Drosophila melanogaster: one gene and its partners. The protein of the gene in region 1 interacts with the protein of each later gene in a biochemical or structural test. Each region holds a gene or a part of one and is shown on either strand. Other genes may lie near its edges.

Region 1 (4,322 bases):
GGTTGTGCCTTTAAGTACGTGCGAATACTACGCGAATAGAGAAATAAACTTTACACTTAAGTGGGAAACAGGAAAAGGCAATAAATAGCTTGAATGACAATGAATTAAGACTAGCTGAGGCGCTCCACGGCCAGGGCGATTCCCATGCCGCCACCGATGCAGAGCGATGCGATTCCCTTTCTTCCACCGGTGCGCTCCAGCGCATAGAGCAAAGTGACCAAGACACGGGCACCTGAAGCTCCAATCGGGTGGCCCAGGGCAATGGCACCGCCATTGACATTTACTTTCTGAGCATCCAGCTGCAGGTCCTGCAGGACAGCCAGTGATTGGGCGGCGAATGCTTCGTTCAGCTCGTAAAGATCCACTTCCTCACGCTTCCAGTTAATCTTTTGAAGCTGAAAAATGTGAAAACTTAGGAGCATGTATAGAAGTGGAATTTCCGTGTAACTACCAATGCTTCCACAGCTGTGACTGGTCCCAGTCCCATCACCTTTGGCTCAATGCCACTCTGAGTCCAGCCCACAATCCTAGCCAGCGGCTTAAGACCCTTCCTGGCCACCTCCTCGCCGGACATCAGTAGTACGGCAGCAGCGGAGTCGTTGACGCCTGAGGCATTGCCAGCGGTTATAGAGCCGCCCTACATAAGCAAGAGAAAGTGGGTTAACTCTCGCTCTTCTTGTATTTATCTTAGACCCACCTCTTTGAAGGCTGCCCTGAGCTTCTGTATACCCTCGACGGTGCTGCCCGCCTTGATGTACTCATCCTTGCTGAATGTGGTCGTACCCTTGCGATCCTTGATCTCCACGGGCACAATCTCCTTGTCGAAGTAACCCTTTTTTTGGGCCTCCTCGGCTCGATTTTGCGACAGCACGGCATAGGCATCCTGGGCCTCACGACTGATGTTATACTTATCGGCCAGATTCTCGGCAGTGATGCCCATGTGTATGTTCTCCATGGCATCGGTTAGGCCGTCGTGGATCATCGAGTCCACCATAGTGCCCGGACCCATTTTGACGCCCTGCCGCAGATGCATGACGTGTGGAGCCAGGGACATGCTCTCCTGACCTCCTGCCACAACAATCTGTGCGTCTCCCGAGCGGATGGCCTGGTAACCCAGCGCTACAGTTCTGGAAATGGTAAAAACCATTGTAAATGTACGGAATTGTACGGGACAAACTCACTTTAAGCCGGAACCACATAGCATGTTTATGCCGTAGGCTGGCACCTGAATGGGCAGACCCGCCTTGAGTGAAGCCTGACGTGCTGGATTCTGACCCTGACCGGCGCTTAGAGCCTAACAAAGATATTTACATAACAAATAGATCGGTAAGATAGGAGGAGAAACAGTTATGATATGGGTCCCACCTGGCCCAAGATGACTTCGTTGACCTCCTGGCCCTCCACATTCGCCCGCCGGAGTACCTCCTGGATGACCACGCTGCCCAGGTCGGAGGCCTTCAGTTTAGAAAGCGTTCCATTGAAGCTACCTGTTGATTTTTCAGATTGGACAAACACGAAGAGAAAGTTTCCAATTAGAATGTGGTTATCGTGTATGGTGCAGCCGATTTATCTTGGTTTTACCAATGGGCGTGCGGGCGGCGGACACGATGAACACGTCAGACATTCTGGATGGGCAAGGAACAGGTGTTATTGACTTGGCTATTGAGCAGCAAATAAATTCTAATTTTCGAAATTGTATTATTTGCTGCCAGAAGTGTGACCAGGTGCAGCCAAAGCCCAGAAGCTGCACTTCTGGGGCCCAGCCCTACTAAAAACAGCTTGTTCTCACTTCAAATCACTGACATAAACAGGAAGACAATGAAATTATATATTTTGTAATTCGGATTTAATTATAAGTAAATGCGAAACTTAAGGGTTTTATGTTTGCTTTAAGGACGAAGCCTTGAAATAATTTACAAATCTTAGGGTGACCATTTCAATGCAGTTTTAATTTGTTTTAGTATTTTACAGCTTTCCCATGGTAAATTTGAACAGTCCAGCCGCGGTCACACTGCAGTACACAGAAAATTTACTTTTTTTGTTGAGAAAATTAGGGAAATTAACGCACAAAACGCGAGTTAAAGAGGCCCAGAACGTAAGGCGCGATCATCAGTCGCCCCGAGGACCACAAGGCACTGGAAAAGGAGTCGCGCTTCCAGAGATAACCCCGCAAAAGGACCCACGCAAGCAACAGTCCTCCGCCGCCGCCCCAAAAAGAACCAAAAACGCCTGAAGAAGAAGCACCCCCGCAATCAGAAATCTGCAATCTTCAATCTCCAATCTCTAGGCACATAGCACTCCAGTCCAGAAAGTCGAGGAAATCGAACCATGCAGGCGATCAAGTGCGTCGTCGTGGGCGACGGAGCCGTGGGAAAGACCTGCCTGCTGATCAGCTACACGACCAATGCCTTTCCCGGCGAGTACATACCCACCGTGTTCGACAACTACTCGGCCAACGTGATGGTGGACGCCAAGCCCATCAACCTGGGCCTGTGGGATACGGCCGGGCAGGAGGACTACGACCGACTGAGGCCACTGTCTTATCCCCAGACCGATGTCTTCCTCATCTGCTTCTCGCTGGTGAATCCGGCATCGTTCGAGAACGTGCGGGCCAAGTGGTATCCGGAGGTGCGCCACCACTGCCCCAGCACGCCCATCATCCTGGTGGGCACCAAGCTGGATTTGCGCGACGACAAGAACACAATCGAAAAGCTGAGGGACAAGAAACTGGCGCCCATCACCTATCCGCAGGGCCTGGCCATGGCCAAGGAAATCGGAGCGGTCAAGTATCTGGAGTGCTCGGCCCTGACGCAGAAGGGTCTGAAAACCGTTTTCGACGAGGCCATCCGGTCGGTTTTGTGCCCCGTGCTGCAGCCCAAGTCCAAGCGCAAGTGCGCCCTGCTCTAAAAGAGTTAGACAGTTGGTCGGTGGTGTTCCACCGACGGACTCTGCTTAAACGTAATATTATTAACTATAAAACCATTATGTAACCTAAGCGTGGCCAGGCTAAATGGCTCATCCGTAGTTTCTTTGTTACAATTTTGCCACTAATTTCCGCTGCTAGGGGGGGATTCCCCCAACCCAACCCAACCCAACTCTTGCTTTTGTTTCGTTTCCGAGTTCTGAGTTTGTTTCGAGTGTTCTGTAATTCATAATCCAATTATTCTGTTTATTCGTGCATTAATTTCAACTAAAAGTTAAAAGCGAGATGTTTCTAGACGAAATGGAGAACTGTAAACTCTAACTGTATTTTGTATTATTTAATAACTTTTGTAATTAAAATTAATGTTGTAAAACTGAGGTAAAACCAAAAACAAAACAAAACAAAAAAAAAAAAACAAACGAAAAACCTAAAAAAAATGTGAGACAAGTACGAGAATAGCCGCATAATGAGCATAAAGCATAGATGTCGCATAGATGTTGATCGAAGGTCCTGCGGAAGGGATCAGGATATTGAGTCAGTAAAGTAAACGTTCCATTGCAATTACACTTACATTATTACATACTTGTATTTAGATGTTGTTGGATATCGAAGCGACGGCGCGGGCGAGTAACAACTTTTTAAACTTTTGCTAGATCCAGGAACTATCAATATATATACATGTATGTATAAGATGAAAAGTCCTTCGTATACTATGTACTGAATTAAAGGCATCAAACTGAGCAACTTTGAATACTTTGTATTTTAAACGACAGATATTCAAGAAACAAAAGAAAAACAAAAAACATGAACGAAGCCAAGATAATTATATAAATGTGTCTATTTCAATGGAAATCAATAAAGCATAATAAAAGGAGTTTTGGTTTATTTATTGTGATATGTTTCTTATATTCTTCTGACATATCATATGTAGTGAATACTAGAAAACGATCTGCGCATATTAGGGAACTATGAGTGGGAAAGAGCGTAAAACTAGTTTTAGCTAAGTCGAATCACTCATCGAAAAGATATCTGAGTGCTCTTTTCTTCTCCAAGATCTTCGCAGCACCAGCACATATACTTACTTACATAGCTCACGCATTCAAATATTCTTGATTGTTTATCAAACTCCATTCGTCAATGGCCGACATTGGCCCTCGCTCGAGTGCTCACTGTACCCACAACGGAGACAGACTTATCAACGCCGAAGAACGAATTATTTTGCTTATCTCGGCGAAAGTCGAGAACCGAAAATAATCTAAATCAGCTTGAAACAAAATAACCGATTCCCGGAGCTCCTCACTTCTGGTTCTACACCGAGAAAGAAGTATTTATGGTTAGCATGAAAATAAAATATAAATATATAGAAGTAAATAGAATAAAAGCATTTTATTGAACATGT
Region 2 (4,630 bases), on another chromosome or scaffold:
CATCAGAATCCAAATATTACGAAATTGTCATAAATAGTGAAAACCGAATTTAATAAGATATCGATATGAATTTTAAACTTTAAAATTATTTTTACTTGAGGCAGTGCTACAATGACGACAGGCAGATTTATCGATTTCCCTCTTTGGGCTCAGTTGTAACCCCATCATGGCATTATTTGGTTTGGTATGGTTATTGCTGCGTTGAAGTTTATCCACAACGCCACATCCCCATGAGTCCCTTTTCCACACTTTGACTGGTTAGTAGCACCCGACAAAGGAATATACATCGAAAGAAGAAACACAGACCCACCACTGGGGACCGTCGGACCCTAACCCGCAAACCCACCATCCCACCCACACCCACTGGGCTTTGCCGCACGCTCATGCGACTGCACACCCACTGAGGCAAAAAAAGGATACTCTTTCTTTTAGAAGTTATATTTATCGGCTCAGCTTATAATTGTAACGCGAAAAGGCCCCACAACTGACTCGCAGCTCTTGACAACCGATATTACGATCATTTACTTTTCAGATCGGATCCCATTATCTGCATGGTAAAACCCCAATTTTCAGTGCAGTCGCTTCGCGCCATGTGGTCCTTTCTGCCGGTGCTCAGCTGACTCACCTGACGACTGTGCAACATGCCACCAGCAACCCGCAACTAGAAACTCGCAACTCCGAATTTGGAGCTCCCAACTCGCCATTTGGACGACGGATAGAAGTCGCATTAAAATGCCAAAAATATGCTCGAAACCATAAAAACTAGCAAAGTTGCGGGGAAACTGTGAATTTATCTAATTAGTGAGGGCAGAATCAAAAAGATGGAATTATGGCTGCACAGAATGGAAGTCGCCATCCACATGTTGTATTACAGCTCGGCTTATACCACACACATAAGGACCAAACAAAATAATATGCAATTTTAAAAATAACTTTCTGTTTAAAGATTTTCTATATGTGAACAATACTGCCTTAAAATAAGTTAATAAATAACAACGTAAATTAATACAACAAAAAGTACCAAGCGATTTTAATGGTCTCTATGGAAATCCATTTTTGGCTACCGTAAGAGGCTTGCTATCATTTTTTTTATACAAGGGGCTTTAGTTCTAACATAAAATTAAGATAGTTGTGCGGCTCAGCTTTTTTAAATTATTTGTATGGTATGGGGCTCCACACAAAGTTCTCTGTTTGCTGGTAAATTGGAGCAAAGCTTTTAGCTTGGGGGTAGTTTGGCGGACTGAAGGGGCGATTCGGGGTGTAAAAAGTTATGGGGGCTTTGAGCATAAAAAGCGTCCAAACAAGATTTTTGATTGTTAATGTCGCGGTAAATGTTTTGCTTTCTGTTCCTCTCACCTAGTCGTATATATCCTAGATCTTCATCTCTTGTGTGTAATAGAGGAGATCTTGAAATAATTTGCTGCTGGAATAGACACCGCTTATATTACATTTGCTCGAATTGATTTGACGATATGCCATGTTTTCTTACGATTAAATTGGAACCTCCACCTCCAATGACTACAATGAATGATGATAGCCTATCAGAAGACGTTTCCTTTTCTTTCAAAAGGTTTTTAGTAAAAGGCAAAATAACGCTAACCAACAAAGCATTAGAAGTTCTGGAAACAGGATTTGTTTTAACAGAAAATTGCGCATAATCACACTTGCCACAAATGATCGCTTATTCGAGTTGTGGGAGCCTTATCAAGCACAGCCGAATTTGATAGCGACAAGGTCATTTCCTATGATGGACTTTTCACCCTTCAAATAGTTTTTTAATTAACTAAATGCATAGCCGCCAGTGAGTTTCCTGGATAGGTCCCTTTGTTGAAAACTCACCTGCACTGTGGAACTGCGTTTCTCCTGACGTCCTAATGCTTGACGTTTTGCGTCTAATCCGTGCCAACGGCTACTGCCCAAGTTATGAAAACGTGAGATCACAAATTGCAAGGGACAACTGGGGTCGGGTTGAAGAGGGGCGGAGGTATGGGAGTGGGCTAGTTGCAGTCACCGGTCGTAAATGTGTGCCGCGTTGTGAAAAGGATGCACTTGCTCTCTATGGTAGCTCTCTCTTGCTCTCTCTTTTTCTCTAAAAATGTCTATCTCTTTCGCTCGCTAGCGTTACCTTTTATTTCGGCTTTGATTGGTTTTAATTTCCGCTGAAGCTGCTTTTACTTCCGGGGCAGTAAGAATGCGAATGCAAAATGCAATTGGCTAGGTGCAGGTTTTTGTTGTTAGAGACTTATCGCTGATTCGGTGGTCAATGGCTTGGGATTTTGAGAAGCAGTACATCCTTGCAGCCTCTCTTTGCTCCTTTCTGCACCGTCTTTCGTTGCCTTTCGTTTCGTTTCACACTTTCGTCGCATTCACGGCATCCCATGCAACTTTTTTGCTGCGGCATTTTTTGCGTAACTTGTGAGATAATTTCAACATGTTTTTGGTTCCCGGAAAAGGTGCAATTTATTTTTTGGCCTTTTCATTGATCTGTGCGCGAGAGTGCTTGCGGGCGCGGTGTGTGGGCTCGCGGCAGGCGGGTGTGAGAGTGTGTGGGTGGTGCGGGGAACCCGTAGCGGAATGCGTCCGTGTGGCAGCGCGAAGCTTTCGCAACTATGCGAATTTCCTGAGTAGGAATTTCAGTATAATAAAATATCCTGTTCCTCTTCTAAGTCGAGAAAGAGAGCAAGAGAGCGCTAGTTATTCTGCGCGTGCGCCACGAATTGGAGCACTTTAATGCTGGTGGCGATAACACGGACATGGACACATCACCAATACTCGCGCACGTACACCCACCACCGCGGTGGAACTCCTTCCCTCTCACTCACTCCAAAACTTCCTACGTTTTTTTCACTGTGCTGCGCCGCTTGTCCTTTTGCTTTTCTCCGATGTTAAACGACACTTTCGGTTGTTTTTCAAGCTTTCTTATCTTTTCGGACCATGGGCCGCGCCTTTTATTGCGTTTTTACGAAGCAATTGTGCCTGCATTCGGTGGAAAAACTACAAAATATTATTTGATCGGAGGAAACGAAACACTCGCAGCAAGCGACGAGAGCGAAATGCAGCGTGCAAGAGCGAGACTGCACCACAGTCAGCTTTTACCGTTGCACGCAGCGTTGATGACAAGGGAAAGAAATAAGGACGCATGCGCGAAAAATTTCTGTTGGTCGCTTGAAGAACAGTATATACCAAATATTGGTTTCGGTTTCAATAAAGAGAAATTAAATGGTAAATGTGTAACAAAAGGAAAAATTTTTAAATATTTAGATTACTGTTGAGTAATAGTTGGCAGCTATTTTACACACATAGATGGCGTGACGGTTACTTTTTACAGAACTCTGTTACGTTTGGAAAAACTCTAGAATCTGTGAGATCATACATTTTGGTATTTAAACTATTTTAGCAACTGGTAACACTATTCGACACCGGTGCCATCAATTTGGGTCAATTTAAAAGGAACTATGTTTTTGCATAACACAAAGTTTTGCAGACTGGCAAGTGAGTATACGAGTGGATACAGTTCCCACGACATTCCTACATATTCCCCAACAGGTGGTCTGGCAGGAGGAGTGCGCAACCTGAGCGGCCAAAAACCGAAGACCGCGATCCTAATGCTGAACATGGGCGGTCCGACCCACACGGACCAGGTGCATGACTACCTCCTGCGTATTATGACCGACCGGGACATGATCCAGCTGCCGGTGCAGAGCCGTCTTGGTCCGTGGATCGCCCAGCGCAGGACGCCCGAGGTACAGAAGAAGTACAAGGAGATCGGCGGTGGTTCACCGATTCTTAAGTGGACCGAGCTGCAGGGCCAGCTCATGTGCGAGCAGTTGGACAGAATCTCCCCGGAGACAGCACCTCACAAGCACTACGTCGGTTTCCGCTACGTGAATCCCCTCACTGAGAACACGCTGGCCGAGATCGAAAAGTGAGTGTAGTCGAGAAGTAGAACAAGAGTGATGTAAATAATCCGAAGGTCGTGAAATTGACCTATATATATTGCTACGGACTCTCACAATAAGATATGTTCTAGTAAATAAGTTTGTATAGACTTCTGACTTCTTATGCATGTTTCAATGTCCTGCTATTATCAGTTGACTTCTTGGACAAATTACTGAAACCTAAACCTGGAAATTATGGTCATTTGCGCTACTTAAAGAATACATGTTAATATTTTAACATATTTACAGGGACAAACCAGAGCGCGTTGTACTCTTTTCACAATATCCACAGTACAGCTGCGCCACCTCCGGATCCAGCTTTAACTCCATATTTACTCATTATCGGAGCAAGTGAGTTAGAAATGCACAATTGCAGCTATTTATTTGATCCCCTCTACCTCTTTAGTAATCTGCCCTCGGATATCAAATGGAGCATTATCGACAGGTGGGGCACTCATCCACTTCTAATCAAAACGTTTGCCCAGCGAATTCGCGACGAGCTGGCCAAATTTGTGGAAACGAAACGAAATGATGTGGTCATCCTCTTCACTGCCCACTCCCTTCCCCTTAAGGCTGTGAACCGGGGTGACGCGTATCCCTCGGAGATTGGTGCTAGCGTACACATGGTGATGCAGGAACTTGGTCAGACGAATCCCTACAGCCTGGCATGGCAATCCAAGGTGGGCCCGCTA
Region 3 (4,645 bases), 6.6 Mb from region 1:
ATTTAAATCAATATCACCTTAACATGACATCGAATGCTTTCCTCGGAAAGTAATATATTTATTTATGAAATACATAGTTATTTTTACTGTTCCTGCACCTTTCCCAGGTGTTTGTCGATGGTCTGGCTGAATGGATGGATGATTCACGAAAGACTTTACCCTACTTAAGTTTCCCTCTGGCGAATATGTTGCTCTTGCTTTTGCGCATATTCAACCCTTGGAAACGAGTACCTGAAGGGGTTTATCTGGGAATCTTGAAATACCTGTAAAATCCTCGTACACCTGACACAAGGCGGCCTGTCGAAGCTTCGCCTGTTTGACCTCCTCGTCGGCGGCATATGTGAAATAGGAGGCGGATTGTCGCTGAACCGTGACCACTTTGTTGCTCTTTTTGCCCAAATGGTTGCCAAAGTTGAACTGCACCAGCGGTAAGTGTAACATTTTGTTCGCAGATCCTCAAGGATCGGGCTCTAAAACATAACTAAATGCAAGACGAGCTCAGGCTGAGGGAACACCTGAAATCGCATTTTGCATGGCCACAGGTGGTAGCTTCTTCGGTTCAAACAAGAAGAAGAAGGTATGTAAGTGAGGTCAGGAGAAAAGGTAAACGCAAAATGGTAAGCAAAATTTCCGAGTGTGAGAAAGTGCCGAGACTCACAGGTGGCGGCCACCATTTTTCGCCATTCGGGAATTTCCTTCCTTTTTGCCCGAACAAAATCCGCTGTTGTTATTTATTTTCTACTTTTCCTCGCTGGCTGCCTGCCAGGGAAACGATGAAAAACTAATTGAGTGGCATCTGAGAAATGAAAAGCCATCGGAAGAAGAGGGCTGTGTGTGTGGGTTTCTGGGCATTCAGCCACGCAGCGAAAAATGTCCTATGCGAAATCATAGTTAACCCAAAATGACAATTTTTGATTTTTACTTAAATTCTCGTGTCTATTGCTTTTGACCTAGACCTAAAAGCATTTTTAAGTGACAATGAAATCCAAAAATAAAATATTTTATGTAAAAAAATTGTGTTTTAAACGAAAGACGTTTTGTAATTTTGGAATAATATTTAGAAAATTACTTTAAATCTCTAGAAAAAAAAACCTCAGTTTACCTGCAAGTTTAAATTATACATAAAATCAACCAATTTCTCGCTGTGTAGCGGATTTTGTCAAATAGCAGAGCAGAGTCATCAAAGAAAAATCTTGTAATAAAATTACGTACGTATCCCGCGGAAGCCTTGACGTAGGCGAAGAGCAGATTCCGAAGGTCTGCGGGCCATGTAAAATGCCATTAGCATTGAGGGACGGAAAACACGGACTACAGGCTATATAGTCATAGTTGTATGGGCATGTGCGCCCTGTCAACATGTGTAAATGGAATACGAGGTAATCGGCCAGCGGGGTAGGTAAACCACCCGGAAAGCAAGGATCAAGGATTCTGTGCAACAAGAGGAGGAAGTAGAAGGAGCGAAGAGCCTGTCGAGCAGGATAAATTCTTCTTCTTACCTGGCGGCAAGTATTAGAGCGGAGCAGACAGAATAAGTACACAAAGATATCATGTAGAGTTGATTTCAAAAGTATCTACATACATATGCACATTTAAAGGCTAAATAACATCAAAGGAGAATTGATTTTATAACCTAACCAAATTATAAACTTTTAATTGATATATGCTTTATTTGCGCCTCAAATTCGGACACAAAATACATTAAATGATAATTTTATTTGTTTATGCCGCGCGCTGGAAAAATTCCTGCCGTACAACATATTTACACGTATTTTTTAAGGCAATAACCTTTGAAATTGTGTGGTATTTGCAGTTACACGTTCTCGTTGCGGAAATCGTAGGCTTATGGAAAGTATAACAATTTTAATTGCCTAGAAACAATTTTGTTTTTAGTTAAATAAAAATGTTAAAAATATAATAAAAACTTTATAGCAGAGATTTCTCTTTCCCATCAATACCTAAATCTATCTTTTGTTAATTGTTTACTTTTTTAAGATTCGATAGTTTCTTGTTTACTTTCTTTTATAGCTACAACTCCATGGCTAAAAACGGCTGAATTCGCATCAATGATAACAGGAACTGATCGCTTAAATTGTTGTTGCTTGTCCTTTCTTTTTACTCTCACAACAGTTAGGGCGCCTCAGTTGTTGTTGTTGTTCTTGCTGTCGGTACAGTGTCGCCGAAGAGAGGGAGAGTGAGGGGAAACGATGATGAAGAGAGGGAGGCATTTCGCATTTATGCGATAAATATTTTCTACACCGAAATAAATTCAGAAAAAAAGATTAAAATATCTGCGACACGATGCCGTTGCTTTTTTAGTCACACAAATACACACAAAGATGTACTTATAGTCGTTGTTATTTCATTTTATTTTTTTGCATTTGCTGGCAGCGACATTTTTTATGAGGATCTTTTGGCCCCGAATGTGGTTTTACCCCGTACCCAACCCCTTTGGGCGACATTGAAAAATGATAAATTCGCCGGCCATTTGGAGCTGCCACGCCCCGCGCCCTCTTTCAGTACTCACCGCACTTCGATTGCTCTTCAATGGTCTCCATTTCCATGGATCTTCTGCAGTTACTTTTTTAAGGCGAACAACTCGTGGAACATACACAAAAACACACACCAACAGAACTCGAAACACAATAGAACGAACGCACAAGGAGACAAATAATTCGTTTGTACTCGATTCGTTTACTTTCATTAACTGGACGCTGTTTTCATGCATTTAGCGCGCATCATTTCCATGTTTGTTTGTTTTTCTACTTTTTGTTACAATTTATTTATTATTTAATTAAAAAGCGGCGGCTCACGAAAACACACACACACAGACGCGCATAGGCAGCGTCGCCCGGTTCTTCGTCCTCTTGTTAGCGATACCGCGTACCTGCTTTAGCAATTTAACCAACAAAATGATCAACAATGTAAGCGAATTGCGCTCAACGGCTGCGCGTCGGAATCACAAATCAAAACTCAACGGACAAACGCGTCTGTTTCGAATTTTTTTCGCTGTAGTGTGCCGCGCAGTGTAACCGTCGCGGGGGCGCCAAGAAATACGCGCAAATGTGATGAACGAAATACCAGAATCAATCGGCGCTAAATAATGGTCACACTTGCAAGGGGTTGAAGGTATTCCCTGTAATGCTATATAACTAAATTAAACGACTATGGCTATAAAATAGTTGTAAGCTGCACTATATTAACAATCAATTAGAACTGTTTTCTTCGTTTAAGTTGTTTTTGGCCTGTCGATAAATTAAATTTGGTAATATCCTACTATTGTTGCAGTTGTAGCCTCCAATCATATTTTTCATGCAAGCTATATAAGCTACAGTTAATTTTATGTATGCTTGCTCATATATTTAATAAATGAATGCCTAAAACTACTTGCTTTTGTGCTACTTTGTTTAAATATACGCGCTTGATAACAACGAGTTGACCGATAAATACTGCTGGCGAAGTATCGATACCAGTGACAAGCATTGCCACTACGTCCGCACTTGTTGCTGTATCTTCACGCTCACGCACACTCGCACACAACCATTACGTCAATATGGCAAACAATCTGTCAAACGCGCAATTACAACAAACACAGTTCGTTCGCATTGACAGTTGGTCAATAGGTCCATCCAGGATTCGCTGAAGTGGTGAAGATAGCCAAGGACTGCAGCTGGCGTGGATTGGCAGAGGGTAATCCAGAGATCCGCGCAAAATGCTGCCACAAACGCCGCCGCACGGATTGAAGGTGATGTCGGGAGCGGAGGAGAACCGACACTATCTGCGCGCCTTCATCCAGACATACAGGGATCTGCCCGTGCTGTGGGACACATCGCTGCGGGACTACACCAATCGGGAGAAGCGGGCGGAGGCCTATTTGCGCCTGGTGCCCATATACCATTATCTCAAGCGGGACGCCACCGTGGAGGATGTGAAAAAGAAGATCAACACACTGCGCACGAACTACCGCAAGGAGCTGAAGGTGGTGGAGAGTGCCCTGCGATCGGGCAGCCTCCACAGTCCACGCTGCTGGACCTTTCAGGAGCTGGACTTTCTGCGCAACTCGGAGAAGTTTCTAGCCGTCAATCCCGCCTTTAAGAACGAGCCCAACTTCGCCTTCGGTGAGAGCAGCAATTGCCCGAGTGCGTTTCTGGAGAGCCAGGGAGCAGCCCTCCATTATCCAGCACCACGCGCTGGTGGTCAGACGCCCAACATTTCCGAGATGTTTCACAAATCATTTGGAGCTCCGCCACCGCCACCGCCAGCAACCAACCATGTGGATTATGGGAGCAGCAAGCGAGCCAGGCAAACGCCGCCATGTACGGGAGCAGGAGCCGGATCTACTGGCGGTCCTGGGGCAACAGGCACCGCCCACAACACCGACGAACTACTCAACATAGCCTGCGAGTATTTGGCTGGCACATATCCGGAGGAGGAGTCCATCGCCCGCACCTGGACGCACAAACTGAAGCGACTGCCGCGCGAGCAGCGTCTTCTGGCCGAACGTTTCATCAACGAGATTCTCTTCGAGGCCGAGTCCAACAATCTGCATCGCGGATCTGTGCAAATCAACAACAGCTTCGAACCCTACGTTCGCTACGAAGAAACGCCAAATGGTCACGAGGAGCAGGACAAATCACAGAGCCCCAGT

What was found.
Region 2: of the proteins of Rac1 (region 1) and RhoGAP100F, one has a biochemical effect on the other in vitro, tested with the Drosophila melanogaster proteins (one study listed by BioGRID).
Region 3: of the proteins of Rac1 (region 1) and pbl, one has a biochemical effect on the other in vitro, tested with the Drosophila melanogaster proteins (one study listed by BioGRID).

What each region holds. Positions count from the first base shown.
Region 1 is NT_037436.4:1,300,353-1,304,674, reverse strand, and holds Rac1 (Rac1), read left to right. Parts: upstream 1-1,991; 5' UTR 1,992-2,328; coding exon 2,329-2,907; 3' UTR 2,908-3,796; downstream 3,797-4,322. Other genes in the region: Acat2 (Acetyl-CoA acetyltransferase 2), read right to left, coding at 111-395, 452-637, 698-1,127, 1,182-1,294, 1,366-1,487, 1,582-1,624. UniProt on the Drosophila melanogaster protein: During various developmental processes, regulates changes in cell morphology in response to extracellular signals.
Region 2 is NT_033777.3:31,811,036-31,815,665, reverse strand, and holds the start of RhoGAP100F (Rho GTPase activating protein at 100F), read right to left. Parts: upstream 3,058-4,630; 5' UTR 1,840-3,057; intron 1-1,839. Other genes in the region: FeCH (ferrochelatase), read left to right, coding at 3,456-3,492, 3,547-3,925, 4,188-4,289, 4,345-4,630. UniProt on the Drosophila melanogaster protein: GTPase activator for the Rho-type GTPases by converting them to an inactive GDP-bound state. Promotes the anchoring of Liprin-alpha clusters at synapses. Recruits and keeps Nrx-1 levels high in active zones in the presynapse opposite the postsynaptic region.
Region 3 is NT_037436.4:7,908,898-7,913,542, forward strand, and holds the start of pbl (pebble), read right to left. Parts: upstream 3,058-4,645; 5' UTR 2,562-3,057; coding exon 2,525-2,561; intron 442-2,524; coding exon of another isoform or gene 264-441; intron 1-263. Other genes in the region: CG8281 (uncharacterized protein), read left to right, coding at 3,710-4,645.